Linked DNA regions of Arabidopsis thaliana. The protein of the gene in region 4 interacts with the protein of the main gene of each other region in a pairwise test. Each region holds a gene or a part of one and is shown on either strand. Other genes may lie near its edges.

Region 1 (7,988 bases), on a different chromosome or scaffold from region 4:
GCAAAAATGGTTGGGTAATATTTTAACTAATGACAATAATTTTAAATAGTAAAAAAAAAAAAAGAAATACTCCATTAGTTATAGTTGACTAGTATATTTTGAAGAAACTACTTAAAAAAATTATTACAGAATTAATGACATAATGTATCTATACTTTAAAAAAAATGTAACTAAAATAAAAACCCCGATCCAATTCTAACCAAAAGTTATGAACACTTATTTTCACAATCACTTAAATATTAGGTGTTACATGCTTGCACTAGCTATATATATGTAGGACTATGAAGTATGAAGTATGAACTTAATTTTTCTATAAACGTTTTAAGAAATAAAGAATCTATATATAGTATTGCCTTTCATACAAAAAATTATCAGTTTGAAAACTTTCTACCAACACGATAAAAAGTACTATATGAGATCATCCTAAACGTCTATTTAAAAAACGTGATTCTCATTGGTAAACGACTAATGAACGGACGGTTTGCGTCTAAAACTAACTTTTCATGGACAGGATTTAACGGATAGAATTTTCCATTATATGATTTTCATGATTACGAACCAAACGATTCAATTCTTCAGCTATATGTCGTTTCACATAAACTCACAAATCACAATCTTAGTTAAAGCTTTTAGGCCCAATAGTGTCCCAATTATTTTAGCCCATTATTTAACAAGGTACGACAGATTATCAACGTCACTCGACCAATACAAGTAAAGGTAAAACTATGGGCCGATAAAAAATGCCCAATTTCAGTTTTTACAGCCCAGTTGTAAGTTCACCAGTAGTGGATACACTGCGTTAGGACTATCCATTTCAGAGAATGTATTGATAATTCGGATATCTACAAAGTGACGGAAAAAAAAAAAAAATCGGATATCTACAAACTACAATTTGAATAGCTAGGGATATTCACCACCATCAGTTTTGGGGTTTGGTTGATCTCTAAACCAGCCACACGAAGTTTCACAGTCAAAAGTTTTAAACCCAACAATATGTTGATGTTGAACATGGATGATTCGATGTTGCATCTAAATGTTGAGATTGGATGCAACATCTACAAAAAAATATGAGCATGGCTATAATTTTATTATAAGCTTAGTTTGTGTAAAATCCGAATTTATTGTGGTTTAAGTTGCATATTCCAAATTAGTTTGTGCACAGACTTGCCTTGCATAGTTGCATAACAACAATTAAACATTTTCTCACATCCCAAACATGATGTAAAATATGATTCTACTGATAAAATGTGAAACGAGACATTTAAATTAGTTCTTACACAAATATATATATATATACAATATAAATGTGTATATATTTACATAATTCTTTTTTTGAGACAAAATAATCCATACTTTCACCCAAAAAGAACATCTTTTAAGAGTTTATAAAAGGTACAATCATTTTAGTTTTTTTTTTTTTTTAACATCCACTCTTTTGATTTTCAGAACATTTGCTGCGGCATGTAGAATCATTCTTTCTATTTACAAAAAAATATATCCCTTAACATTTTGTGTTGCAAGAAGAATATTATTCATGAGATCACTCATACACTATTGTTCATTCATATGCAATTACAGCTACAATGCTTGATGTAATGACAGAAATAAAATTACATGGTAGGAGTACGTCTAAATTCTAAAATTTAAAAGAAAGTAAACATGACGATGGCTGTTATGAAGCTGATAATCTTTAAAACTCACTTATACCTATATTAGTTATAATTAATCAATATTTGATTAAAACTTTAGATAACAATTTTATTTTTTTAAACTCCATATCTTTGCAGAAAACTGAAAAGATAATTAAAGGGATACTAAGGAGAGAAAGTGAGTACGTACTGCTCTCTCGTTAAGGTTTATACGAAGCTATATTAAATCCTTCTTTACTAGCAGAATGTTTGCTGAATTTGTTGAGCCAGTTCTTCTGCACTTAGTTGGCACTCAATTCCAATCTATCAAAAGAAAAAAAGATAGAGAAGTATACATTGATAATTGTTCTTTAACAAAAAAAAAAAAGATGATATGAAAAAAAATATAATTTATACAAAAATAAGTGTTTTCAATTAATTTCATTCTGAGTAGCTCTATATTTCTCGAGGCACTAAACTCCCAACGAAAAAGAAACAAATTTAACTATTATTAAAAAAAAAAAAGATCTGTTCTCGTCTCAACATAATCACCTATTCTAAGGAACTTAATTACCAAATATCTATACTTGCGAGACATAGTTAATAGTATCCCTACTTGATCTCTGATCTTGTTTTTTTCGATAATCAAATCATCAATACTAAAACATCCATTGTAGAAATTCTTCATTGAACAAATTTAAGTACTTATCAAAAATAGAAACTAAGTCTTGACACTTATAAACTTCAGCAGCTTGATCTATTTGAATAATTTCCAAATATATAGAATAATTCCTTTCGAATTTAAAATTGAAGATTTTGGGGGCTCTTCAATGTTCACGTATAATTTATATAATATTTAAACACGTGTTCTTTCACACCGTTTTTTTTAAGAAAGTCAAATGTATAAATTAGAGAAGAGTTTTAGTAAAAGTAGTATAAAACAACGAACAGTTTAGTTTTGTATGTTTGTGAGGAATCTGACATACACATACCCTACGTTTTATATAATGATATATATATCTATCTATATATATATAATGTAGATTAGAATCATACATTAAATTTCATATATATCGAAAGTGTGTATGAGTTTATGTGAATCTCAATGAATTATTACTTATTACACTACCCTACCCATTTCTTCCCCCACCATATATCCTATGTAAGAAAATAAATGTATGAATTACACTTATGAATAGAGACAAAAAAAACAAGTCAGTGAAAATTAATTAGGATGATTATTCGTACGTACCTTGATGGTGAAAGAATTAAGCATGGTTTCGTCGACGGTGTTAATATTAACCTGAAGAATCTCAAGAGCCAAATCTTCAAGAGCAGCAATTATCTTCATAACTTGTCCCGGGATCTTATGCGACACCGTTTTGAGCAGCACGTTAGCTCCTGAAAACTTCACTTCCACATCAGCCAAAGCCGATTTTGAGTTAGCAACAAGCTCATTGATCACACTACTCTCATGGTTACTACTAACTGAAGGAGATGAAGAAGATGAAGCAGGAGAGTATGGAGGTGGATCTCCTAAGCTGCTGCAACTGGCCAATGAGCTGTAAGAGCGAAGCGGAGGCTGTGGGATGAGTGGTAGTTGCGGTGGAATGGCCCGGTATGGGCTTGTTGGCTGAGGTGTTCGAGGACTTATGGGAGGGAGAAGTAGGTGGTGGTGAATCTGGTGGTGGTTGATGCGCGGGCTAAGAGGCGGTTTTCTTGGGCTTAGAACAGGCGGTGAAGGACGAGGGCTCGGGACAACTCTCGGGCTTAGGACTTCGGCGTAGGTTTTACGTTGTTTCTTGGCTTCCAAAGATTGGAGAACTTGTTGTAACTCGCTTATGTACTCCACAACTCCTCCTATGATCGATGCTTGGTCCCCCTTTTTTTAATAGGTTGGTTTAAGAGGAAATAAAGAAAATATAAGTCAATATGAACATTCTATATATCTCATTGTGACATGAAAGAAAGAAAAGAAAAAGAGATGATTAGTGGGACCAAAATGTCATTATAATTGTCATTATTCCTAAAAAAACATAGATATGCATGATACTTTTGATGTTACTAAGAAATGATATATGAATATGATAGTTAGGTATACCAAAAAGATTAGTTGAACGAATAGTATTAATTAGTCGGGCACTACCAGAAACTCACATACTGACTAGTAAAATCTATGGATGTATTGAATATACCCGTTTGACGTAGAAACAAGGCATAAGAGAACGCAAAACGGTTAAGTGCTCGTTCATTTGCTTTCTCCGGTTACGTTCCACGGTTACATGAGACATCTTTTGTTGCCCATCTTGCTTATTATCTTCTTCTGCTTCTCCGTCTCCGTCTTCTTCTTCTTCGTCCTCTTCTTTCCTGGTTTCTAGTCTTTGCTTTTTCCTCTTAGGAGATGAGTTTTCATAATCTTGATCCTTAACTAACTCCTTGGAACTTGTGGTTCCATCTTTAGGTGTAGATGCAGCTGTCGGAGATATCTCTCCGGCACCTTCAAGACTCTCTAAGATGGCAAATAGATCATCTCCGGCTAGTGAAGTGTCGACAAATTCACACTCTTCAAGAAAATCCGGTATTATCTCCTGCATCGTGATTAGAGATATATCCTTCTCTCTCTCTCTTCCTCGTTCGTTGTTTTGTCTTATGGTTGGATTTTTTTTTTAAACAGCAAAATAAAAGAAAGATTTAGGGAAAGAAAGAGACGCCAAAAGACATATCAAGTTGAGAAAGAGAAATAAAGAGAGTGAATGCCAAAAGGAGTAAATATGAGGGACTCGCATTCATCGAGGACTAAACTATCGCTATCAAATTTCAATTTTTATTATTATATTTTGATAGGGTTATTTATTATGCGGTTTGTGCCGTTGGATGAAATTTGGGGGAGGATCTAGGTTTTTCGTGTCTCATTTATGTTTTAGATATAAATATGCATCTACATATATATATATGGTACGTCTTATTGTATACTTTATATTACAGAGATAAAGGTTGCATATTGCAAAGGGAAAGATACATAAATTCCTTAGGAAAAGATTTTTATGGGGGTAAAATTTTGAATAATCACAAGCTCGGTATAATTGTTTTTTGTACACACAAACATGTAATACACATAAACACGGACATGTACGTTCTTTGTATTTAATTTACGTATATGTTCGGGTTGCGAATATGGTCCGACCAATCCCGGTTTCCAAGTATATATATATACAAAAAAACAAACAAAAAAAAAACATTTGAAATTAGTGAGTTCACATTTATTTTAGCGCCTCAATCGTGAGACAATCAATTGAATGATGTGTTGTACATTCACATTATAGATCATTCATTATTCAAAAAATAAAAAGATACATATTTAGAGACTTTTTATGATTGATAGACCAATTTCAGACATGTTATCGCCAGTCGATTTAAAAATACAGATTTTCACTTAAAGCATATACTTTGGCCTTTGTTTATGTCATGGTGTAATCTAACCAACATTTAAGCCCAAAAAGAAGAACAAAATTCGATTCCACAATTCTGAAAGAAAATCCGTTCCTTCTTCTTTCCCGAGCCATACATACAATTTAATTAATTCAATTTAGTAATGTTAGTTCAGTTCAACTGGATCCCTAACATATTTCATAAACACCTGATGAGATGGCATAAGAATTCAATTTCTTATAAAACCAACCCAAAATAGAATATGAATTTAGCAATATTAGTAAGCATTATTAATAAGATGGGATATAATGTGTATATATATATATATATATCACCTCTTTTGTAAGTTAATCTTTATATTGATACAGGGAGCAAACGAATTTGTTTTCAAGAAAACAAAAGACAAGGGATAGATCTAAGGCAATAAATAGTTGATGTCATACTAGACGTGCCTCATTTTGTCTCATCAAAATCAAATTGCATCTTGAGGAGCCACCCTTCATTTGAACTTTCCCTTTCAAAAGTTTTTGAAATATTTGTACATAAATATAAATATTGCTTGACATTTTCTTTTTTGATAATCCATTCAAATGTTTTAGAAAATAAACGAAAATTTAAGAAGATGGAGCCAAGACAAACCAGGTAGTCGTTAGGTTTGAAGTTAATGAGTTGGCTGTCAGATATTATTTACCTGACCATGTCTTTTTAGTAACGGGTCTCTTCTCCTTTATGCTTTGTTTCTAGCCCAAATTAATGAAACATCAGCAATTAGAAAAAACTATGTTTTTCTTAATGCAATGCTTATATAATGATGAAAATTACTTTTAATTACATGTTCTTATGTGACACATTCCAAACTGATCTTCTTCTTTTTTGTCAAACACCAAACTGATCTTAAAACAAAATAGATTTTAAGAATCCCAATTCAATTTTCGATTTTAACCAACCCGGACAAACTTATTACACTGTACAAAATAAACAAGATATTTGTCAGTGATTTTGATTTAGCGGACATAGTAATGTAACTAAAGTTTAATTATTCATGCATGCAGGATATTAATTTGATATGACTCGGATCCAAGGTATTATTCAATTTCATATATATACGGATATATAGATACCCTTTTATGGAGACTATGACATGTTTTCAATTTTCGTACAGTTTTGTCTTGCTCTATTTATTTCGCAAATCAAAATCTACATTTCTATAACACTGTTGCCCGTTACATTACTACAACAACAAAAAAGAGATTGACATAAATTCATTTTATTTATATGACATAACAAAACGTTGATTATATTCTTCCTGCAGTCTCGATTAAGAAGTCGTGTCATGAGTTGGTTCCGATGATTACTAATCAAAAACAAACAAACAAAAACTCGACAGACTAAAAGAATGAATATATGACTACTCTGAAATTTATTGCCTTTTTATAATAACAATAATAATTGACTTTTGAAGCAATTATTCAGAGAAAAAAACTGAGAATGAGAAAGTTGCAAGTTGCGCAGAAATCAAAATCTGCAAGTTGAGCAGAAAGATCAGTACTTCGGAAACAAATATAATAAAGATGGTGGGCGGCTTTCAATGACCGGACACGCCTTCTCCGTGCCCGAGATTCTACAATTCTTCATTCATCCACATGCATCATGTATATGTATGTGAAATCATGGATGCATGTATGATGGAGTATAAGCATATATATACACAACATCTCCTTATCGCAGTGATGATCTTGTTTCGGTTTTGGTTTTGTAAAACGTTTATAGGATATACTTTCAAATTTATTTTTAAATTATAGTTGGATATTTTAGTTGGGGATTCTAGATGGTCACGGTGGTGAAGTTATGAACTATTAGCATGTACTGATGTACATATATCCGATTATCGTGAGACCACGACATGCTTTTGACAGATGAATCTCTTTTTAAACGTAGCACCAACTCAAGCTCGGTTCCTAAGATTTAAATCCTGTGTAGATCTCAATATGGCTTCCAAAATTACTCGCACTCGATTTTTGGATCACACAATTTATAGTACTTCCTTCTATTTTGATTCATAGTTGTTTTTTCTAGGAACATATAGATTAAGAAATAACATAAATTATACTTCTTTTGTTTTGATGTATAAGATGCTTTAGATAAAAATGGAGATCAAGAAATGACATAAATTTTAGATTTTTGTTACATTAAAAACTATATAATATATAAGTAAAAGTAATTTAATCAATAATAAAATACTTTGCACAATACAAATGATCATAACACATCAAGTTAAATAAAGTTTTACATTATTTTTTATTTGTTGATTTCTAAAACATTTTATAAAATGGAATAATTTAAGCTCTCTTTCTCTCTTTTTTTCTATGTAATCTAGGCATCTAGCTATCATCAAACCCAATAAGTGGTCGCAGTAGAATAGAATTTAAATTCCATATGGTCGAGAATTAAGATTTCTGTTAGTGTGATCGTCGTCACTTACTCATTCGATAATTCATTGAAGAGATACAAATTAGGAGATAAGTTTGAGGTTTTGCTAAAAGTAATACACTGTTTTTTATATACAAGAAAGAAGCTAAACACTTCCGTTTCGCGTAAACAATTTTTTTCCTTCTCTTTTGTTAGCAAGGATGTAACGGTCTTTGGCAATGTAGTCTTTCTAGATATATCCAACACTACCAAATTCAGATTTTTTTTTTTACTCTTGAAAAACTTAATAAAATTTTATCGCCGTAAATTATTCATTCTCCAATGTAGCACTAGACTCGAATTAATTAACGTCTCGTAGCACTCAAATAACACTTCTTATTTTTCGATTAATCAAGCTTGGGTTAAAAATAGCAAACACATATAGCGCATCAAATAACACATATATCGGGTAAAGTCAATTTTATAAATCCTTACAAAACTTTCTCATTCCCTGATGAAATT
Region 2 (6,723 bases), on a different chromosome or scaffold from region 4:
TAGCAGTCTAGTGGTTGGATGATCTCGATTTTCAAGAGTTTCCACACTTTGATTCGATGTTTTTTTCTCTCATCATGGCCCAGTGACCATATACCTCTTCACACTTTGATTGGATTATGGTGCCTGTGACAAGTAGTGCAAACAAAAGTGGAACCGTTGAGATACAAAACTTCAATACATATCCAAGTTTTTACTCACTGTGAATCTGAATTATATGGTGCATCAGACTTTAAGAAAAACAAAGTCTACTGAGTATACATGCCAAAGGATAAATGGTATCCATAATTTGTATTGATTTAAATAAATCCATGAAAATTTCAACTAGTCACTAATTTACATTTTACATGCTCTCAGTCTCATATTAATAGTTGTTTAAGGAAAAATTAAAATATTCGTCTCGTTTGATGCGCCGATTAAACAAAGATCGAGGGATGAAGAATCAAATAAAAGGGACACGAATGCAGTCACGAGAATAGATTAAAAAATTGGGATTAAACTAAATAGAAAAGAGGATTTGGAAAGAAAGTGAGATTAATAATGAAAGGCAGTGAGATTTTTGTTTGGTGGGTCAATATGGATAATGGATTGATGTATAATATAATTGAATATTGACAACTCAGAGTGTGCCACATTTCGTGATACCGATCATTTACGTCATACGTTTTTGCACTAATTTTCTTACATATATATAATGTAGTATCTATATATAAAAATTTATGTGTCAATTATTATGTATTGTATATAAATCAAATCAGACGCAAAAAAGAAAAGAAAAAAAGAAGAGATTTTCACAAGTAATATTTAAAAAATCATTTTTTCGTTAAGTAACAATATTCTTTTCGTTTCACAATAAAAATCATTTTGTACTTTTTAAAAAAAATATTTTACAGAAAAAACGGTTCCATATTTTTAACGCAGAAATTTTTGTAAAATTTAGGATTTTTACTTTAAAATTATGTTAAATAAATAAGGTTGGTTTAAACTTGTTTGAGAAATGAATTGCAAACAAGTAAATGTTTTTTTTTTTTCTTAGTAGAATAAGGATTTTATTGATAAAATTTAGAGTCACATGATTACAAAGGCCGACAAGGAAACAATCCTTGTAGAGATTAAAGTCGGCAAGCAAATGAAAACTCCCGAATACAAGATCAAACTAAAGGGGAAAAAACCCAAGCTACAAATACATCATATCTGAACAAATACTTTCCGGACTCATAATCCTGATATTCAAAACCAGAAATACAAAGTGTAAAACAAACATAGAATCAACAGATCTGAGACTAGAAACTCTCACAAAAGGAAACAAAACCAAAATACTCCTTACCACGAACGGCGGTGAAGCAAAATCAGCACCCCGAGACCTAAAGGAAAGCGTCTCATGGAGAAAGGTAGGAAAATTAGATCTTCAATGGTGAGAAAACTAAATCCGAGACGGTGAAGGATCGGAAAAAGTCTGCCTTTGCCATAGATTGAACGGTCAGAAATGGAGCTGTACTTGAAGAAGTATTTTTATATGTACGATATCGTTAAAAAAACAAATTTTACATATGAAGATGTCACAATCGCCAGACATGCATGGTTCTGGAAGCACCACGTGACAAATTGGATAATTAACCAAGAAACAGGTGAGGCCTCACTTCACCAAATCCCCACCTTTTATTATCTTTTCATTTTCTTTTAATTGTTATCACTCCCTTCCCAGCCTTTCGGGCTTTGGTCATTTATATACAATATGTGTATATTTATTTTTATCTACATTTATTATCATAAAGTTTTACAAAAGATAAAAATTACAAAATTATTTCCAAAAAAGTTTACGTCCAGAATGTAGGTACTAGGTAATATATAGTTTTGACTTAGAAAAAAAAAACAAAAAAAAAAGTCAAGGTAATATTTATTTATGAATGTATATAAACCTTGCAATCTTAAAACATGTTTAAAGATTTCTTAAAGCTCTACATATGTAGCGTTGATACACACAATTTTGATCACTAGGCTCCAAATAATATGTCGAGAAAAAAACGAAAAAAATGCTACCAAATAATATAGTGTTACAATTTAAGTATGACTACACACAAACACACATTTACATTCGGATGATTCAGAACTATATTATACTAGTTAATTAGAGCATATAAAATGTCATGATTTATTGTGGGAAATTACAACGTTGATCAACTTCGGATACAACAACAAACTAAGTAAAACATAAGTGTGTTTTTTTAAAAAGAAGGTTTTGTTTAGAGGAGCTTATTTCTAGCAAAGTATCAAGGCTCATGTAACGATTATATGATTATTAATCCCAAAAAACGATACACGCTCTAGTACATGTAGAATTTTGTTTTTAATTGGTAGAGACGATCACTTCATCAGACACAAAGCTTTTCTGAACTTCAAGAGTTAGCTCCTCCAAGCTTAAGTGACACTCCAATCCTATCTGCACATGTAAATTTAATTCCGTCGAATTCAAAACAAAAGACTCATACAAATATTATCTGATCCATATATATATACATTGAGCTTAACTAATAATATTGATATATCTTTTGGTGTAAATTAAAGAAGTACAAATCAAGTTAAATAGTCATAATTTGGTTAAGTAACTAAATCGATGCAAGACATCGGTTTAGCAATAATTGGTGTTTGATCATTCATTAGGAGCATTTTACTTTGTAATAGTTCTATAACACCAAATTCCATCTAATTTCATGATAGATATAATGAGTTTTATCGGTTGTTCAATATATTGACTAACAATGTATTTAATTTGTATGTAGATGAAGATATGTACCTTAACAACGAAAAAGTATAAGACAGTCTCCTCCATGCTACTAATATTGAGGTGAAGAACTTGAAAAGATAGCTTCTCTAAGACAGAGATGATCTTTACGAGCTGCCCCACGATTCGCCTAGAGACAACTCTCAATACAACATTAGAACCTGAAATCTTTGCTTCTACGTTAGCATGAGGGGAGTTACAGCATGCTCCTACTTCCTTGAAAGTACTTGTGGTCATCACATTTTCGATTCGACTAAACGGTACTCGGGTAGTGGCGGCTCCTAAACTGGATGGCTCGATTGTCTGGTGATCATAAGGGAAAGATGGTCGGTTTAGGGTCTTTCGACGTTTCTTGGACTCAAGAACTTGAACCAATTGCTGCAACTCTTTGATGAACTCTATCACTCCTCCGATGATCGAAGCTTGATCTCCCTAATACCGATCAATCATAGAAAACAAGACCACATGATTATTAAACAGATTGGTGCATCCGAGTAGTTTGTTTAAAGAAAGTTACCAAAGAGAAATATACAGTCTATGCATAACATATACAAACAAGGAAGTCTGACAGTGAGAATATAGGATTAACTATATATGTATGCCACAACATTTTGTTTTCTTCCAAAAATAGTAAGTTGGGAAATCCAATATTAGAAAGATTATCATGCATGATCCAATTATAAGTATCTAAGAGATTTTTGGTTCCTGCACAATTTTATCTGGGATCCTATTAAATAAGCAATTTGAGAAGGTTCAATTGTCTGTATAAATAAATTGGAATAAATCTTGAATCAACCTCTACGAAATAACTTCAACAAAAGAAAGCAACGATCATTAAAAAAATACCAATCTCTTCGAGAAAATAATTAGGATTGTGAATTGAGTTCTTTTTTCTATATCATCCAAACTAGCTAATTGACTATGAAGGGATCGAACAGATAAATATGAAATTTACCCTTTTGATGTAGAAACAAGGAGTCAAAGAACGAAGGGATTTAAGATGCTCGTTCATTTGCCTTCTTCGATTCCTTTCAACAGCGATGTGAGACATGATACTTAATTGATCAAGATTCTCTTCTGGAGTTCCTATATTGATCTATCAACGAAGAAGATGATCTTATGTTTTCACTTTGTTCGACACATTCTTCAAAACAAAGTCGTATTTATACAGCCGCAACAACAAGTGATAATTAGGGTTTAGAATTTCTTTTCAAGGTTCATAAATGCACTATGTCGCTGTCTCGTGACATTCTTTTGTCTCTTCTTGATTTTTCTCTTTCTCTCTCTTATTACTATCGATATGTATTAGAACAACGTAAAGAAAAAGGTATGCATACACAAAGATACGTCACGTTTGTGAAGTTGGATACATTTACATTTACATTCACTGCGTGAGGTCTTTTATGAATTTCAATATCGTATTTTCATTTAGAGTGCATGCCTTTGCACCACCTTCTTTTACTTCTAGTTTAATTTCTACACTTGTGCCACTTCTTTGTTCTTAATTACCGCGTGTCCTCACAAGAAAAAATGGATTTCTTTTACTCTTTATTAACAGATAATACACTGATACATACACAAAGTAAAAAAACATTGAATCGGACATATACTGGTGGAAAGGTTTAGTTTGTATTGAGATGTTTTACAGTTTTCATGGATCGATGAAGGAAAATAAGTACATCAAAAGCCGTTTTTTTTGGCGTAACATATGTTTTTTACTACTTACTATTAGCAAACATATTGGGTAGTATCTGATTGGAAATCTACGAAATTTCGAAGTGATGAAATGATTATGTGATTTCGCATGTTTCTATATGACATCGTTTTTGTGTAATTATGTTTCACATCTTCTATCCTATTGACTTTGTAAGATAAATGACAACATTGACAAGTAACAAAATATAAATAGTTACGACATAGTTTGTAGTTGAATTACAACTTTTTGTTTTCCTTAATCACTATGTCATTTAATACCACAAATTTCTCATTCGTGATGATTCCATCATTTTCCTTGATCACTAGTCGGAACCAATTTCCATTGGTTAATGGATAACTTTTTGCATGAAATATAGGTTCTACAAGAAAACATAAATTGATATAACCTTTGGAGCAAAGATAAAGTTCAGTTGTTCAGCTACCTGGACGGCTCATTAAGATTCCTCCCGAGAAGTATTCTTAAATTATATTATTTATTTTTAATAAAGAGATATTCGTAAAATTTCGGCTCTGTTTTGCAAAGTTAACAATATCTCAATTCATATTACAAACTTCATTAAATAAGGTTTAACCTAACCAAAAAAATTGCTATAGTGACAATATTTTTTCTATGAAACAAACCCACTTGGATAACACTTCTATTTGTGGTTTTGTTTGGACAAACGTTTATTTTTATGGTTCATATATGCATATCCACATATACATTATCTCCGAAGTCCCAAAACTGTGGAAGCAGCTGGAATGAAAATGTTGGTGACAAATGTTTGTAGCCGCAAATGTTAGGCTACAATACGTATAAGACATGCAAGGTGCATGCCCCATTTAATTACGAGTAAAGAAATCTAACTCCTACTTCGATATTCAATTTGTTCATGGTCTATCACGTTATATACAATATTGATCGACAAGGCAATGAAACAAGAAAAAAAAAAAAAAAAACTCACGTTCGATCAAGATATCGGTTAACATTCAATGCAAGGGTCGAAAACCAAACCAACCAATTTTCAGTCTGGTTTGGGTATGGGATTGGTTTGGTTAAATTCACACTGATCCTCCTAGAAAATATATTCATTGTAGTAACAGAGGAAATGTAAATTCTGCGTTTTCATTCATTTCAATTGGCTAATGGACATGGCAAAGTGCTCACCATCAATAGTTCACAAGAAAAAATCCTTCACAGCACGAAACCAATCAACTTTTTTGGCCAACATGGGGCTGAAGACACTTGCCGGAATTTCATGAGAGTTCATCATGCCACTATCTTGAATCTTCTTATCAGCTGAAGCAATCATGCATTACCTTGGATGGATTTTTCAAATTGCTGGAGCTGCGAAATGAAACCGGGATTAGGATATGCCTGATGTCGTCGGCTCCTTACAAGTTCCATAGCTTTAGAGAATCCCATTCCATGCTTTTTCATCAGGTAAGCCACCACTATAGTCACACTTCAAAGAAAAACTCAAACCAATCAAATTGTGTAAGTATATATATAACAGAACGACACAATAAGCAAATTACAGGTTCAAGAAAAACTCTTAATTTGTCCACAACAAAATGTAATCTGTTCACTACCATAACTCCTACTAATACCAGAATCAGCAAGCTATAAAAGAATCAAAGCAAACTACAAGATTCATATACACTTTTGCCAATCTGAGTCTCTGTAGTTTCCTATGGTTACTCAGTTGGCAATTTATATACACTTTTTTGATATGGTTACATAATTTGCAATTGGTTCACATTGATGATTCTTAAACACTAAATCTAATAACTGAATGTATGAGATTTAAGGGCAAAAGAATCAAAACCTCCTAGACATTCCCATGAAGCAATGAACCAAAACACCACCACCAGATTGAATAGCTTGGTCGATGAAGCTATAACACTCATCGAAATATACTGTCAAATCGGTCTCGGATCTATCAACCACTACACGATGAAGAACAAGTTTATAAAATCTCTAAACGAAAAATTTCAAAAACAGGCTAAGGATTGAAGAAAAAAAACCCAACCTTCAATGACTTTGTAGACAAAATCATCAGGATAAGGAGGAGCCAAGGCCACAGCAACGGTTAAGACATGAGTGATATTAGAGCTTTTGAGAAAATCCTTGTTATTCGCTTCAGCTACTGATCCTATGAACAATCCCTGAGAATAAACTCATCCAACAAACGATTTTTCGGAATTAAAGACTCCAAAACCTGAGAAATTCCAAGTGTGAAATTAGA
Region 3 (7,988 bases), about 14 Mb from region 4:
CCCATTTATCTCTCTTCTCCTTTGCTTATAATCAAGCTCACAATCCATATCCTCTCTGCGATCTTCTGGTGGCCACCGATCTTAGTCAATCCGAACCGCGATTTCGAACTTATTCACCCTTCATTATGGACTTCATTGGGCATGTCATTTGACTTTTCCTGTGTCGAGTTTAGTGACACACCCAACACCAATAGTGTCTATTTTACAAAATAAGTTACGAAGACTGTATATCTTGGTACATATAAAAACGAGAATGGAAATTGGAATCAATATTGGCTCTACACCAATAGGATCAGATTTTGTTAATCTTCGCATTAAAATCGAAGACGCCTTAATAAAGCAAGTCAGGGAACTCCAGTGCCTGCATATAGAAACAATCAGGCACACTACCATAAACAAACAAACAAAAACAACCAGTTACTAGTGCAATAAGTTCGATGTTATGTTTGTTAATTACCACAAAACTGTGTACAAGTGATAGTCCAGTGGTATATCCTTACTACGAGTCAAGTTCTCAACGTCTCTTGGAACTGGATAAGTTCTACTTTCATCCATATCTGTGTACGTACTCTCTATATACATTGTGTCCTCACCAAACCCCATGGCTAGAGCTAGTTTAGGAACGTCAAGGTAGAACCACGCAAGCGAACTTGGATAATTTACTAGAGTATATATGCCTGGAGTTTCACTTTTCCTAACTACACCCACCACTTCCACATGCATAGCCCTAGAGACTTGGTCCTGCTAAAAAATATTCCAATAACACTTAACTATGATATCAAATCATGCAATGAATGATTGAGTACTCATTAAGTTTATGAAATGAAGACCAACCTCAACAATCATTGGGTTGTTCAACTTGTACCAGAACTTCGACAAGAGACTTTGTTGAGAGGAGAGAAGTTTATTAGCTTTTCTTGACTCTTTTGCAGCAGCAACAAGACCACCAGTACCTAGAGATTCTAGAGAATTTTCTTTCCAATCCGAAGGAACCCATCCGCGATTTACTAGAATAGGGGACTTCATACTAGTGACAAAAGGAAGAAGAAAAAGATAGTTAGACCATGTTTGTTTGTTTGTTTGTTTTGGTGCATTTGTATGCAACCTTATTTGTAAGAGACACAAAATTTGCAAGTATTTGCATCTAGTCTAGATGTTGCATCCAAACACTTAAATATACAAGAAAAAAGATATTTGCATCAAGATGGTATATATGGAGATCAAAAAGACTTTAGTTTGGTTTGCGCATATAGAGAGTAAATCCCTGACCTATTAGGTTCATTAGGGATTGGCAAAAGAGGTGTAATGACATAAAAGCCAATTTCAGAACTTTTAGACATGGATCTAGGCTTTGGACCCACATAGATCGATCTTTGCTCATCGAAAATGCCTTTGCATACCACCCGTCGAAATCCTAACCCATCCAAATCTTTCGTTGTATTCAGCTTCATTGGTTTCATTTCCAAGCATTGTTTTCTAGAATCAAGATGTTCCTTGTACTTGAAACAAAAGAGTTTGAACAAATTCTTTAGCAGATCAAAGAACAACACGTATAATTAAAATGTATATAATGAAAATCACAGACCACTTGTGTTTGTAGGAACTTATACGTCTCACCGAGACCATAAGTAGTGAATCCAACTAAGTACCATAACAACGCTGACCCTCTTTTCTTCTCTGCAAAACATTTTTACACAAAGATTCAGAACCAAGATTCAGAACTTAATCACAAATTAGACGAGAGAGAGCATGTGCAAGATACTTGCGGGTGGTGGAGCTGAAGAAAGCAATTGGCTCTCAAGATTGGAAGTTTGTGAAGCAGCAGGGAGATTGCTAGTAGTAGAAGAAGACATGTACTGACTTTGAGAAATCAACCTCTTAAATATCTTGGAAACGAGTTTTGTCATCTTTTTCTCCTCCAGGATCTTCTCTTTGTCTCATCCAAGATTCTTGATCTACTATATATGGCGACGACGACGAGGACTGATTAAGTATATAAACTAATGTTTTATTTTCTGATATAGCACATGGCACCAACTAATTAAATGACTTTCATCTGCTGGTGGAAATATTTTATATCAATTATCGAAAAAAAAGTATAAACATAAAGTTGACTTCAACAAAATCTAGAAGAGCTTGAATAGTCTTACTTTTATGTTTTTTATACACATGCAAGAGTAAAGACAAAACATACAGTATCCAAATTAAATTTATAGGATATATATAAATAACTTGCTTTTACAAGCCCAGTGTACTAAAATCTGAATAAACAAAAGCTATAACAACTATACTATAGTCTATAGGATACAGAGCCAGAGAAAAAAGAAAAAGCCTTTAGAACAATGAGGGGTCTAAATTGGTTTTAGTGCAGATGATGAGCTGGAGGACAGCTTACACATTCAGACATCAGTGTTCTACAGTCTATTGATGACTTGTTGTCTACGTAATAAGGTGATACGTTAATGACCCTGCAAGAAAACGAAGCCAATATACAGCAAACCTGTGTTTTGATATTGTGAATAAGTGAATAATCTTGTAGCTCAGTACCTTTCTTTGCGTTTCTCTAAGAACCGAGCCAAGGATGCTTTGCGTGTTTGTGGTAAACCCACTGTATTAAATCATAGCAAGATTTTTTGGTTATAACAAACTAAACCTAAGATAGAAGTTTGATGACAAAACATTAATAGGAGTTAAGACTTCATTTATAACCTGTTGGAGCCATAGAGAAGGCAGCAGTTTGGTTGTTGCGCGTGGATGCTAAACTCGCCTTTGTTTTTGTTGGTCCAAGTCCAGTAACCCCGTTGGATCCACTACTTCTGGTTTCAGAGACAATGTAAGAGATGGAAGGCAGGAAACTAGGAGGCATAGTTGGAGGATCAGTGGTTGGAAGAGAGTGATGAACCAGTTTTTGAGGTTTAGGTTGTGAAACCGGTTTAGCATGAGGTCCATTTCCGGCTAGCAACATGATAGCTTGGGCCTATGAATACAAAATAAATGAAGAAGTAAGGACAAAGATTTATCATATCTATGAATCATTAACATACTGTATGTTGAAACCAGGTTAGTAACTTTCTATAACTTCAGCATGTCTATACGTGAAACTTATTTCTTTGATTGAATACTTAGTCAGTGGATAGCTTGGACTGTAATGTAACACATATTGAAGGAAATTTGGTTACCTTTTCAGGAGCTATGTCTTGGTAAACTAATACTGAACCGGCATAAAAGATTGTCAACTGAGGGGGAAGTGGTTTTGAAGAAGATCTGGAGATGAACATAAAGGAGCTCGAGTCAACTATAGAAGTAAAGAGGTTCTGTATCTGATGTTAAACAGAAGAAGATAGAATGCAGTGCATGCCTAATAGTGGTTGGAGCAGGAAATACTGAAACTGGAGGTGCCATGATAGGAGATCCTCCTAAATGTTGGTGGTTTATGAAACTGTTGATGTAGTTTGGTTCGGACATGGAGACTGTGATGGTTGTTTGGTCTTGCTGACTGGAACCTGGGAACACTCTGTCTTCCTGAGATCATTTTGTATCAATTTTGAGACCAGAAGAAACTAAACCAATTGCCAAGCTTTCTTACAAGGTCACTAAATCACACTTTATCACTACTTTTTTTCTTTTCAAGAAATAGCCTAACCTGTAGTGAGCTGAAGTAAGTTCTCTGGTTTTGATCCATTGCAGCAGAAGAAAGCAAATGATCATTGACTGTGTTTACACGCGTTTCTTGTTGGGATGTCCCAAAAGAAAGAAACTGAGGACCAGAACCGACTTTGCTTGAGAATGACCAATCCATCATACCTCTACTTGGGGCTGAAACATGAGCAAATGTCTTTAGATTTTATCAAACTAGGAAACACTCAGATCTAGCTATGCTAAAGTGGACGACTCTTAACATTAGATTCATCAACAATGAACAAATCTGCATAAAGCCAAACACACTGGGGAAAATAGTGATCATACAAATACTTTCAAGAAATGGCACGTTTCGGAATATAAAAAGACAAGAACTAACTATTAAATTCCTCGTGGGTAAGTAAATTATTCATCCAAATTGTAACTTGATCTAAATTTAATACCCAACATGATCCTAACTTAATCAATGAGTCTACTTGGATAGAAATAAAACTTAATCAAGTCACAATCAATCTTGCTTTTATATAATTCAACTTGCATTTGTTGTTAAATCTCTAATCGTCAGCCGGTCGCTATATAACGCATTCTTTTCCCAACATTTCACGTCTTCGTTTTTAAATAATACTGATAGAATTCAAGTTGCTTAATAAACCTTAAAAAATGGCATAAACTTTTCAAAAAGAATAACCAGCCAATGTTCTAATTCTCAATATTCAATCCGGCTTTGAAAAAAACAATCTTTTCTAAAGAAGATACTATTGTATTGAAACCAATTGATCAATTTTGTAAGCAACAAAAAAAATATAGCATTTTTGTTCTGTCGGTGTCGGCTGTTTGAAGAAAAAAACGAAATTATTTTGAAAACACTCAACATTACCAACAGCTTTAGAAACATGCATCACCTAGTCACCTAGAAAATCAAGTTTGTTCTCTGAATATTATTTTTCAAAGATAATACTAACACTTGTTAAATTACTAACGTCAACAAGTTTGGTGTTTGCTTGTATAGTTGTATACTTGTACATTTGTAGTTTGCAAAAAATATTTAATGAAAAAAACTTCAAAAGTAGATCGTGAACGTATGAATTTTCTAACTATCGAGTCCCAAAACGTGTTTTTTCATCGGCTACGTCAAACAAATTCGAGTAGCTAAATTTCTGTCTATAGTACTAAAACCTAATTTCTTAAATATATATCAAGAAAAAAGAAACCCTAATTTATTTTTTCTCTTCCCGAGAAAACGAAGAAAAAATTTCTTGTTCAAGAAAAAACCAGACAGTAGGACTCCCAATCAAGCTAGAAAAACAATATATATGTACTTGAACAATAAACAAAAAAAGAGATTACAAAAATAGAAACAAAAAAAAGTGAGATGAAAAACACAATCATCAGATCATAATGGAAGATGTTGAAGATGAATTACCTGAATCTTCGTTAGTTTCCTCCTTCACAGTTATCGGAGATAACTTTGATCCCAGCCCGAGAAAATCTCTCTCCATCAGGCTTATCAATCGTTGAGAATACAAAAACGGTTTAGCTTTCGCGGGGGAGAAAAAAAATGTCACCGGAGAAGAGAAGAAATGAGAGATCAGAGAGAATTAGTAACAATTGAAGGACTTTGGAGAGAAATGAAAAACGTGAGTTGAAGTTACACACACCGCCGATTTATGATTCCTCTAATGATGTATACATATATTTTTTTAATATAAATCATCCGATGCGGTATGTGTATATCCCACGTCTGCTTTCCTGTTCCGGAATAAACTTCCAATATTAGAAATTCAATCATCGGATATAAATATATATATTTATTTTTATTTTGAACAACTTGGATATAAATATATAAATATATAAATATGTCGTTAATATCAAACTTAAAATAATGTTTTACATTATTTATTTTTATATTTAAAGCTGATAAGCATTATAATAAGAACCCTTATTCTCAAGTTAAAAGAGAGCAATTATTTGTAGTGCATTGAGTCATTGACTCATTCATTCTACACAACAAAACATGGTAATAATGTGGTTGAGAAGAGCTTTCACCGTCGTCTCGATCCCTCTTCATACAAAGTTTGAATTCTTGCTTTGGGTCATGCAGTGCCTCATTATTGATTTATCTTTGATTAATGTTTTTTTTAGATAAGAATTAACCTATAGATCGTAGCCATCCCGGATGAATGGCCTTCTTTTTTATAGAGATTGATGGTTTTTCTCGTTTAAAGTTTTTTTTGGTATGCTCATGTCCTTGTTAAAAAGGCTAGATTTCATTTGTTAAAATCTAGCATTTATGCTTCGTATTGGTTCTCCCATACGGAGAACTTCCTCTTTTACTGTTGTTAGATTTCGTTTGTTAATATATCAAAGTATTTTTGTTTTTGGATAAACCCTAAGAGTTCCTAAGAAAGAGGTTATTTTCGGAACTGTAAGAGTTAATAGTCATGAGGTTAAATTACAAGTACATGTACACTGCTGAGCTCCCATGTTCATACCAAGTTCGAGTGTATGGAGCTTACCCTTGGCATTATGAATTTATGAGCAAGCTGCAAAACTTGCCACATAGAACCAGAGCCAGACCAAAAAAATATAAGGCTCCATACGAATTATGGAAAAAACAATTCTTCTTGAGATTATATAAGTCATTACCATATAATATTTTTAAAATTAAAAATTAAAGTTTATAAATATATTCTAATAAGCTGATTTTATATAGGTTCCAGATTTTAAAAAGAAAAAACATAACAAAAAGAGAACGTTGAACACAAGTTTTAGCAAAGTTGTCGATAGAGGGACACAATGAGATATGGTTCCCATACGTTACTCCAAAGTATCCCTTTTTACTTGGTTGGTTGTGAAAAACAGAATTTGAGTAGAGAGACAATGAGAAAGTGGTATGTAATGTAGATTCGAGTTGCATTTTTTGCAATGAACAGGTAGAGAGACGAAGGAACACTTATTTTTCCACTGCGCCTACTCAAAAAAGATATGGGAAGACTTAACAAGGGGAATTCTCTCGGACAGATATTCGGCGAGTTGGACAGAGGTTATGAAAACTTTATCTAAAAACCTTCTATACAAAACGAAGAGCTACATACTTAGGTATGCACTACAGACAGAACTCTATACACTCAATTTGGAATGAACAAAATAGGAGGAGGCATCAGGCATGGGGAGCAATCATCACCGACGGAAATACTTGTGAAGATTATAGACAAGAATCTTAGAAACCGTTTGAGCACAATTCAAGGTAGTGGAGGATTGAAGTTCAAAGATGGCATCCAAGTTTGGTTTAAAACTTTGAATCAAGGCAATAGATAATAGACAATTAGAAGTTCCTTTTCTTTAAAAAAACTCTCAAAACAATTAGCATTTCATATGTAACAAGTTTATTTTTCTTTTTAATATAATTTAACATTAAATTCAAAAAGAAAAAGTTTTAACATATTTTTATTATAAAAATCTGAATTAATTTAGTAAGAAATAAATAAAAATACTTGTTATTCGAAAAATCTGAATTAGTTTAATTAGAAGTAAATAATTACAAAAATTATCTATTAGGTCCATATCAAATAATTTATATAGATATTATCTTCTAACATTAAATATAACTATAACTATTCAAATTTGTATCTAACAATTATTACTTTAGTGGGTGCAAATATATCAAATTCCAGCAGTGTTGAAAATTTGTTAGATTTCTTTATTCATATATAAATAATAATATGCCCAAAAGTTTCTAATATTAATTAAAGCTAAATTTTCGAAAGAAAAAAAAATGTTATTTGACTGCAACGATAATGAAAAATTAAAAATTAGTTGGATTGATTAACTCAATTATAAACAAAAATACGACCGAAATATCTTTTATTAATCAAAAATTCAAAACTATAACTTTTGTACATACATAATAAATTATTACACGATTTAGTATGAACATATAAAATCACAACGATAATTAAAATTAGTTAGATTTATTAATTTAAATATTTAAAATTACGCGCGAAAGGCGAAAGCTTCTATATAATATCAAAAAATTCAAAACTATGTAATTTCTTTCTATTTTTCTCCAAAAATTTAAAACTCTTCAAGTCACAATAAATTCATTTATGATAAAATCTTCAAGAAATTATATTCATAGTCTTATCTTTTTTGTTTTCTTCATTCATAGTCTTATCTACTTTACTCATTTATGCATATAAAATAAGAAAATGCAGTCCTTAGTACTTAATCTTCAGTTTGAAAGTCATTAACGTTTAATCATAGTCAAGTTTCGTCTTTAACAGGTTTGACTATTTGTTTCCCTAATCTTCTTCGTTTTAGGCTTTAATAAAAGATTAGTGTCCCACTTA
Region 4 (7,136 bases):
ACAAATTAGTGTGGTTGTATAACTCTGATGCCTCGAGAGTTACTAAGTGCGAGGTTTTTGATTTTAAGGCAAACGCTTGGAGATACTTGACTTGCATACCAAGTTATCGAATATATCATGACCAAAAGCCAGCATCTGCAAACGGGACGCTTTATTGGTTCACGGAAACATATAATGCAGAAATCAAAGTAATAGCTTTGGATATTCACACCGAAATATTTCGGTTGCTGCCTAAGCCTAGCCTTATTGCTAGTTCAGAGCCTAGCCATATTGACATGTGCATTATAGATAATAGTTTGTGCATGTACGAAACAGAAGGGGATAAGAAGATCATCCAAGAGATTTGGAGGTTGAAATCATCGGAAGACGCATGGGAGAAGATTTATACCATAAATCTGCTTTCTTCTTCTTATTGCCATTTCCATGTTCTCGATGGATATAATTTGACCAGATTATGTTATTGGACCCAAAAGGATTTGGTTGAGTCATCCACACCGGTGGCGATATACAAGGACAAGAAGATCATACTCTCACATCGCTATACCTGCAATCTGGTAAATTCCCAAACAGGATCTCTTTGCTCATTTTTCAGACAATTTTTGTGTTTAAGATCTGTTCCTTATTTTCCAAGTTTGATTTCTCATATTTAAATAAAATACTACTAATTATTTTGATGCGTTTTGAAGCATGAAAGAAAGAACTCATTGTATTTTTTACCGATTATGTGTGTTTTTATTTTTGCTTCCATTATACGTTTGTTGTTATTTAGAATGAACGAGGCTACACTTATATATCTTTTAGACATCAAAATCAAGACAAAGTTCAAAAAGCCTACTCATCATATCCAAAGATTCAAAATTTGCCTAGCAATTGCTCTTCTTGAGCTCATTGCAGAAAGTCAATGACATTAAGTTGATTACATATTTGAAATCTCTCTTTTGTTGGATCATATTATCACCTCATGTTTTTGGACATGTTGATTATCCAACAATGAACATGATTAAAATCATTAACCATCAGATATTCTTAAGGTGTTGCAAATGCATCAAGAAAAGCTTTGCTCATGAATTATGATTTCTCACTTCCCTATCTAGTAAACGACGTTGTAGAGGAAATCTTCTTGAGACTTCCTGTGAAATCACTAATTCGACTAAAGTCTCTCTCAAAACAATAGAGATGGATGCAAATTATACAAATAAGTGTGGTTTTATAATTCTAATGCGTCTCATTCTGATGCCACGAGTCCAAACGAAGGACTTACCAAGTGTGAGGTTTTTGATTTTAGGGTAAACGCTTGGAGGTACTTGAATTGCACGCCAAGTTATCGAATATACCATGCCCAAAAGCCAGCATCTGTAAACGGGACGCTTTATTGGTTCACAGAGCTATATAATGCTGAAATCAAAGTAATAGTTTTCGATATCATTACAGAAAAATTCCGGTTGCTGCCAAAGATAGTTCCCGCTATTGCTAGTTTAGATCCTAGCCATATATACACTCTGGATAATGCTTTGTGCATGTCGAAAAGAGAAGGAGATAAGCTGATCCAAAATATTTGGAGGCTGAAGAAATCATCAGAAGACACATGGGAGAAGATTTATACCATAGATTTTCTTTTAATTCTTACCAATTAGCCAAGTTTATCTGGTTCCATTATGTTTTTGTCTTTAACATCTTCAGTCGCCCACGGCACAAACCAAATCTTACTAAACTGAACCAAGCTCAGACATTTATAAAGAATATGAATTTTACATAGAGATTCATCTCTGTTCTGAAAAATTGATATATCAGAGCGTTTGCCTATGAATTGTGCATTTCTTAATATTTTGTTTAGCCTTTTCTCATGACAGACTCATGTGTGTTTTATCAATGAAAATCAACATTGCTCTCTTCTTGCAAACAACATATAAATGAAAAGCAAAGTAGAATTATTGAGAAACAATGGCATTTTGCTCAAAGGTTGCAACTATTGTTCCCCAAACACATGTTCTCATAGCTAAAATAAAACAGTTATCATCTTCCATACATGATTGAAATTGATGAAACTAAGTAAGAAAATTGCTGACTAAAACAGAACAAGGACTTAGATCTAGCTCTGTTCCACACAGATGCTTCCTTCTGCTTCGCAATCAAACCAAACCAGCGTAACCTGCTGTATCTAAAAGCACTGCTTTGATTTGTTCAGGTAACACGTCATGGTCTTCTTGACATTGCTGATTAGAAACACAAAACATGTTGTTACTTGTATACTAATCATTCTCTCAAATAACTATTCTTTGACTGCTAGTTTTACTAATCAGTGATCAGCATAGCATCTTAACAACTATATTACCTCAGCGCGGAAAACATCCAAAGCAAAACCATTGAAACAGCTAATCACCGCTTGTTGAACATCCAATCCTAAGTTATCCAAAGCTCTCATGGTGGAAAGTAAAAGACCTGGTCTACGTCCACAGAACATGTGTATGTTCACTGCCTTTCCTTCTCTTAATCTAACCTCAACCTATATCAAAACAAAGAAGCGTTACTAAGAAAATTAAAGAATACAGCTTTGTCCACTAGAAAGCAATTGAGCTTATTCTTACTCTTGGTTGTTGGCCTTTAGGACTTGGCAAGGAGGAAGATGGACACAACTCTTCCTTAACACGGTAAGACAGCGTTTGTGGAGTCGGTGTTAACGGATGCAAGCTTGAAGAACTCGGTGGAGTAGATTCAAGTTCGGTGTGAAGATCGTTGATTCTTTGTAAAAGCTCTTTGAGGTAATCAATAGCATCTCCAAGTATTGATGCTCTATCCATCTACATTTGCAACCCAAAATTAGTGACACAAGAAGTTATTAAGGAGAACAAAGAGAAAAAAGGAAGAATCTTTTTGGTTACTTTGCTGATCTTGGGAACAACTGATCTAAGCATGTAAAGCCTATCATTAAGCTTCTTCCTTCTTCTTCTCTCAGCCATAAGATTCTTTGCAGGCATTCCTTTCTTCTTACCTTTGTTGTTATTAGTATTATGGTCATCAGATTCGTAATTCAATCCAGAGATATCGATGATTCCGGTACTAGTATCGTCAATCTCTCTCTCGTAGCTCGATTTCCTCATTTCAGAAGAACTCTCAGAATTGCACATTTTGCTACTCGAGCTCTGACGCATTGCAGCTCGTTTCTGAAACAGAGTTGGCTGCGAGCCAGATGAAGCCATTACCTGTAACGGTTTTAAAACCTTTGCTCTGTTTGAGAACAGAGGACTCAATCCACATGATCCTGAGCTGTTTTCCGGAGCTGGAAGAAAATCCGGTACTGAGTGGTTTAAGCCAGTGAAATTCATCGAGTTCGGAGATTGATGATTTCCATGGAATTGTTGTCCTAAGAAACCAGAGTCAAAGCCGAAGTCATCGAAAGTGTTGTTATTGATGGTTGGGACGTTGAGAAGAGAAACTATACAAGCTTTCGTAGCTAAGAAAGACTGTTCCTGTTGTTGTTGTTGTTGTTGTTGTTGCTGTGAAGCAGCGTCGAGTGTGAAAGGATGTAATAACGGAGAAGAAGAAGAAGAAGAATCAATCGATTGCTGAAGAAGAAGAAGCAGATTCTCTGAGGGGTTTAAAGGAAAGCCACCATTGAATCTGAAGTCGTTTTGATTAGTGTGTTGTGGTGGTGGTGGGTTATTGAACCAGTCTTCATCTGGGTTTCTGACCCAAGACGCAGCTTCACCGTTATTAACTTCCGGAGATTCACCGGAGCCGTCAAGCCAAACACCGTCGCTGTTCATGTCAAACTAGTAGAGAGAGAGAGAGAGTGGGAAAAGTTTCGAATTTTGGAGAGAAGTAGAAATGGAACCTCAAAAGGAGACAAGGCGAGAGAAACGTAGATAATATAGAGAGAGATTTTTCTTGAAAGGAGGCGTACGTTATAAAGTGGAATCACGAGGATCTTATGAAGAAGAAAAAAGTGAGAAATCTGAAGAAGAAAGATAGAGAGATTTCAGAGCTCGAAAACCCTAAAAAGTTGAGATTTTTGGGGATTTCAATGTTGTCAAGGCCACCATTTATTTACTCTGTTTGGTTTCTTGGTCTATCTTGGTTTAAGAGTTGGTGTTGATTCTCGTGACTATTGTTTTTGCTTTCCGTCTCTCACCTCCACTTCATCTTTGCCACCTCTCTCTCATTTTTTTTTGTCTGCAGAATTATTTCAGTGATAGAGCTTAGGAAGATGATTTAGTTAAAGCTAAATCCGACCGTTAATAATCAAAATAAGTATACAGTTCAGTTTGGTTGAAAAACTTAATAATGTGGGATTTGGTTGGCAATCATAAAAATTGTCACCGTAAAATAAACAAATTTTGAAAAGAAAAATTGTAGTTTTTTTCTATATTTGAAGTATTTGGGACTAAAGAATTTTAATCTCTCAAAACTTTGTGATGTGTGTCATAGACTCATATTAATTGTAGCGGCAAACTTGTGTTTAGATTGTTACATAGATTGGCTATTAATCAAATTTTTTTTGACATGAATAACAAAAGTATATTGAATAAAAAAAAATCTTGCAACAAAGTATATTGAATAAACATTTCAAGATTAATACGGATAAAAGATGTCGGATGCAATGGTCCCTTTTTTTTAACAACGAGGCAATGGTCCCTTTAAGATAAAATCTATATTTCATCTTCCTTTTACATCCACACACAGAATGAAACTGATTTTTGTGTGGATTAACGAAAATACTCGTCCTCATTTTTTTGAAAAATCTGTATCATTTCATAAAGTAGTATGATTTTTGGTAAGTATAGTGTCATTTGGCGAAATAAGTATGGTTTATTATGATTTATGAATAACAGCATGCTATCGGATAATATAACAATCCAAACAATTAATGCTTTGTTTCTTACATTACATGCTTCCAAATACATCAAAGCATTTTATATATGAGAGATCAAACTCTGAAAATAAGAAGCATATCTTCTACACAAAGGAGGTTGGTAAATTAAACTGATAGATTTTATTTGGGGATCGTATTTGATCATATTGCGGGCATAGCGATGTGAGAGCAGAATCTTCTTGTCCTTGCATATCGCCACTGGTGTGGATGGCTCAACCAAATCTTTTCGTGTCCAATTAAATCCATCGCGGAACTCAGATAAAGAAGAAGAAGAACAAGAAAGCAAATCTATGGTATAAACCTTCTCCCATGAGTCTTCTGATGATTTTAACCTCCATATCTCTTGGACCAACGTATCCGATTCTCTTTTCGACATGCACAAACCATTATCCAAAGTGCACATGTCGATATGGTCAGGATCTGAACTAGCAATGGCCGGATTAATCTTAGGTAGCACACGAAACGTTTCAGTGTGAATATCGAGAGCTACCACTTTTATTTCGCCATTATATGGTTCCGTGAACCAATAAATAGACCCGTTTGTAGCTGCTGGTACTTGGTCAGGGAATATCCGATAGCTTGGAGTGCAAGTCAAGTACCTCCAAGCGTTTGCCCTAAAATCAAAAACCTCGCACTTTGTAACTCCCAGGTTTGGATTCGAGGCATCAGAATTATACAACCACACTAATTTGTAATCATTGGCCTTCACGAATGCTGTATAACAGACTACTGGTTTTATGTCAATCCAAGTGTCTTGAGTGGGGTATAACTTTTGCATCAAAATCTGAAACCTAGCCGGAGGAAGTTGTCGAAACCACCGAGTGGCCGGGTTAACTACATATATGGCTTGTGTTTTTAGGGAATGGATGCAGAAAAGTCCGTCACAGCTTTCAGAAGCATAGATCCGGTGTTGAAATCCTTGAGGGAAAGTGATAAGAGTGGAGGACAGAATAGAAGCCGATTCCAAACAGATTGTACTAAAACCAATGTCTGTATCTGGACGAGGCTGATTACCTTTACTTCCTTTCAAGGAATATTCTTCAGACATGACCATGACCTGTGGAAAATCCACGCGTGATCGCTCGACGATCTTCAAGTGTCTCTCTTCAAAACTGCGAGACTCGATCGTCGATCTCCATTGTTTTGAGAGAGACTTTAGTTGGATTATTGCTTTCACCGGAAGTCGTAAGAAGATTTCCTCTACAACATCGTTTGGTAGTGATGATGGTGCAAACACTGCCTTCTCGTTTCCTCTTCCTCTAGGTATTCTTCTTCTCTTTCGTTGTGATAATGATGCAATCAATCGCTTCCCGTTTCCTCTATTTTTAATTACTCTTCTTCTATTTCTTTGTGATGCAATCGCTTGTTTTTCTTTTTTCATAGTTGATTTCTTCTCTTTTGATATGAATGAATCCTCTCTACTCTCCATCCCACTTTTATAAATACTAGATTTTTTTATTAGGAGATTTAGGGGATTACGAGATCGACTTGAAAGTAAAATTCATATTGTAAAATATATTCTTGTTATTAAATAGGTAGATTTAGTATTATCATAAATCTAAAGAACTTGCTTGCTATGCAAGTAACATTCTTGTATAAATAAGCTTATTGGCTAATTAATATAATTGAGAGAAACTATTTCACATATCTGCACTATGTGTGAAATAAAAAAATATTAAGTAATTTTTATATATAATCAATATTGAAGGTATTCAATTTTATATTATTAATTAGATAATCAGTTTGTATTAATGACTATCAAGATTAGTAAATATATATTTATGTTTATCGTGATTTATGATATATATATTTTGTATATTAATAGATACAAAATATTAGATACTTCATTTTGAATAGATTTGTATTTCTTAGTTGCATACATTTTAATTGAATTTTCGTTTTAATAATTAAGTAGTAAAAAACATAAATTATGGTTTGGGCCGGGTCGTTAAGATTCTGAACCCTCTAACTGACCTGGAGGTTTCACACCCATCATCAGATCTGAAAAATTTCTAACTAAGTCTTTCGCGTTAAGCTCCGACACTGCATTTTCCGAGTACTCAAGAGAAAGGCGATGGGGTCATCACAGTCTTCGCAATTACTCGATGAAGAAGAAGAAGAAGAAGATGAAGCAGAGAGCGAAGGTGAAGAAGTAGAAGAAGAAGAAGATGAAGCAGAGAGCGAATTGAATAACAGAAGAATCGAGCTGGATAATCTCTTGGTCAAGAAAGTTCTCGAGCAAGAGCCTGAGATGCTTCCTTGTCAC

What was found.
Region 1: the proteins of SCRM2 (region 4) and SPCH interact in a two-hybrid assay, tested with the Arabidopsis thaliana proteins (one study listed by BioGRID).
Region 2: the proteins of SCRM2 (region 4) and MUTE interact in a two-hybrid assay, tested with the Arabidopsis thaliana proteins (one study listed by BioGRID).
Region 3: the proteins of SCRM2 (region 4) and JAZ4 interact in a two-hybrid assay, tested with the Arabidopsis thaliana proteins (one study listed by BioGRID).

Annotation. Positions count from the first base shown.
Region 1 is NC_003076.8:21,584,720-21,592,707, forward strand, and holds SPCH (basic helix-loop-helix (bHLH) DNA-binding superfamily protein), read right to left. Parts: upstream 4,537-7,988; 5' UTR 4,223-4,536; coding exon 3,824-4,222; intron 3,511-3,823; coding exon 2,881-3,510; coding exon of another isoform or gene 2,854-2,880; exon of another isoform or gene 2,499-2,853; intron 1,953-2,498; coding exon 1,887-1,952; 3' UTR 1,500-1,886; downstream 1-1,499. UniProt on the Arabidopsis thaliana protein: Transcription factor acting as an integration node for stomata and brassinosteroid (BR) signaling pathways to control stomatal initiation and development. Activates transcription when in the presence of SCRM/ICE1.
Region 2 is NC_003074.8:1,843,638-1,850,360, reverse strand, and holds MUTE (basic helix-loop-helix (bHLH) DNA-binding superfamily protein), read right to left. Parts: upstream 3,920-6,723; 5' UTR 3,831-3,919; coding exon 3,735-3,830; intron 3,212-3,734; coding exon 2,792-3,211; intron 2,438-2,791; coding exon 2,345-2,437; 3' UTR 2,102-2,344; downstream 1-2,101. Other genes in the region: MKP2 (MAPK phosphatase 2), read right to left, coding at 5,784-5,940, 6,304-6,424, 6,508-6,643. UniProt on the Arabidopsis thaliana protein: Transcription factor. Together with FMA and SPCH, regulates the stomata formation. Required for the differentiation of stomatal guard cells, by promoting successive asymmetric cell divisions and the formation of guard mother cells.
Region 3 is NC_003070.9:17,928,808-17,936,795, reverse strand, and holds JAZ4 (jasmonate-zim-domain protein 4), read right to left. Parts: upstream 5,407-7,988; 5' UTR 5,139-5,406; coding exon 5,063-5,138; intron 4,197-5,062; exon of another isoform or gene 3,817-4,196; coding exon 3,644-3,816; intron 3,523-3,643; coding exon 3,359-3,522; intron 3,265-3,358; coding exon 3,180-3,264; intron 2,978-3,179; coding exon 2,710-2,977; intron 2,609-2,709; coding exon 2,548-2,608; coding exon of another isoform or gene 2,541-2,547; exon of another isoform or gene 2,469-2,540; coding exon 2,363-2,468; 3' UTR 2,134-2,362; downstream 1-2,133. Other genes in the region: AT1G48510 (Surfeit locus 1 cytochrome c oxidase biogenesis protein), read right to left, coding at 145-361, 458-744, 835-1,027, 1,270-1,499, 1,586-1,677, 1,763-1,907. UniProt on the Arabidopsis thaliana protein: Repressor of jasmonate responses. Interacts with and suppresses RHD6 and RSL1 transcription factor activities to negatively regulate jasmonate-stimulated root hair development.
Region 4 is NC_003070.9:4,381,386-4,388,521, reverse strand, and holds SCRM2 (basic helix-loop-helix (bHLH) DNA-binding superfamily protein), read right to left. Parts: upstream 4,219-7,136; 5' UTR 3,765-4,218; coding exon 2,880-3,764; coding exon of another isoform or gene 2,799-2,879; coding exon 2,586-2,798; intron 2,504-2,585; coding exon 2,333-2,503; coding exon of another isoform or gene 2,324-2,332; exon of another isoform or gene 2,214-2,323; coding exon 2,130-2,213; 3' UTR 1,871-2,129; downstream 1-1,870. Other genes in the region: AT1G12870 (F-box and associated interaction domains-containing protein), read left to right, coding at 1-554, 1,286-1,393; AT1G12855 (F-box family protein), read right to left, coding at 4,911-6,299; AT1G12850 (Phosphoglycerate mutase family protein), read left to right, coding at 6,945-7,136. UniProt on the Arabidopsis thaliana protein: Mediates stomatal differentiation in the epidermis probably by controlling successive roles of SPCH, MUTE, and FAMA. Functions as a dimer with SPCH during stomatal initiation.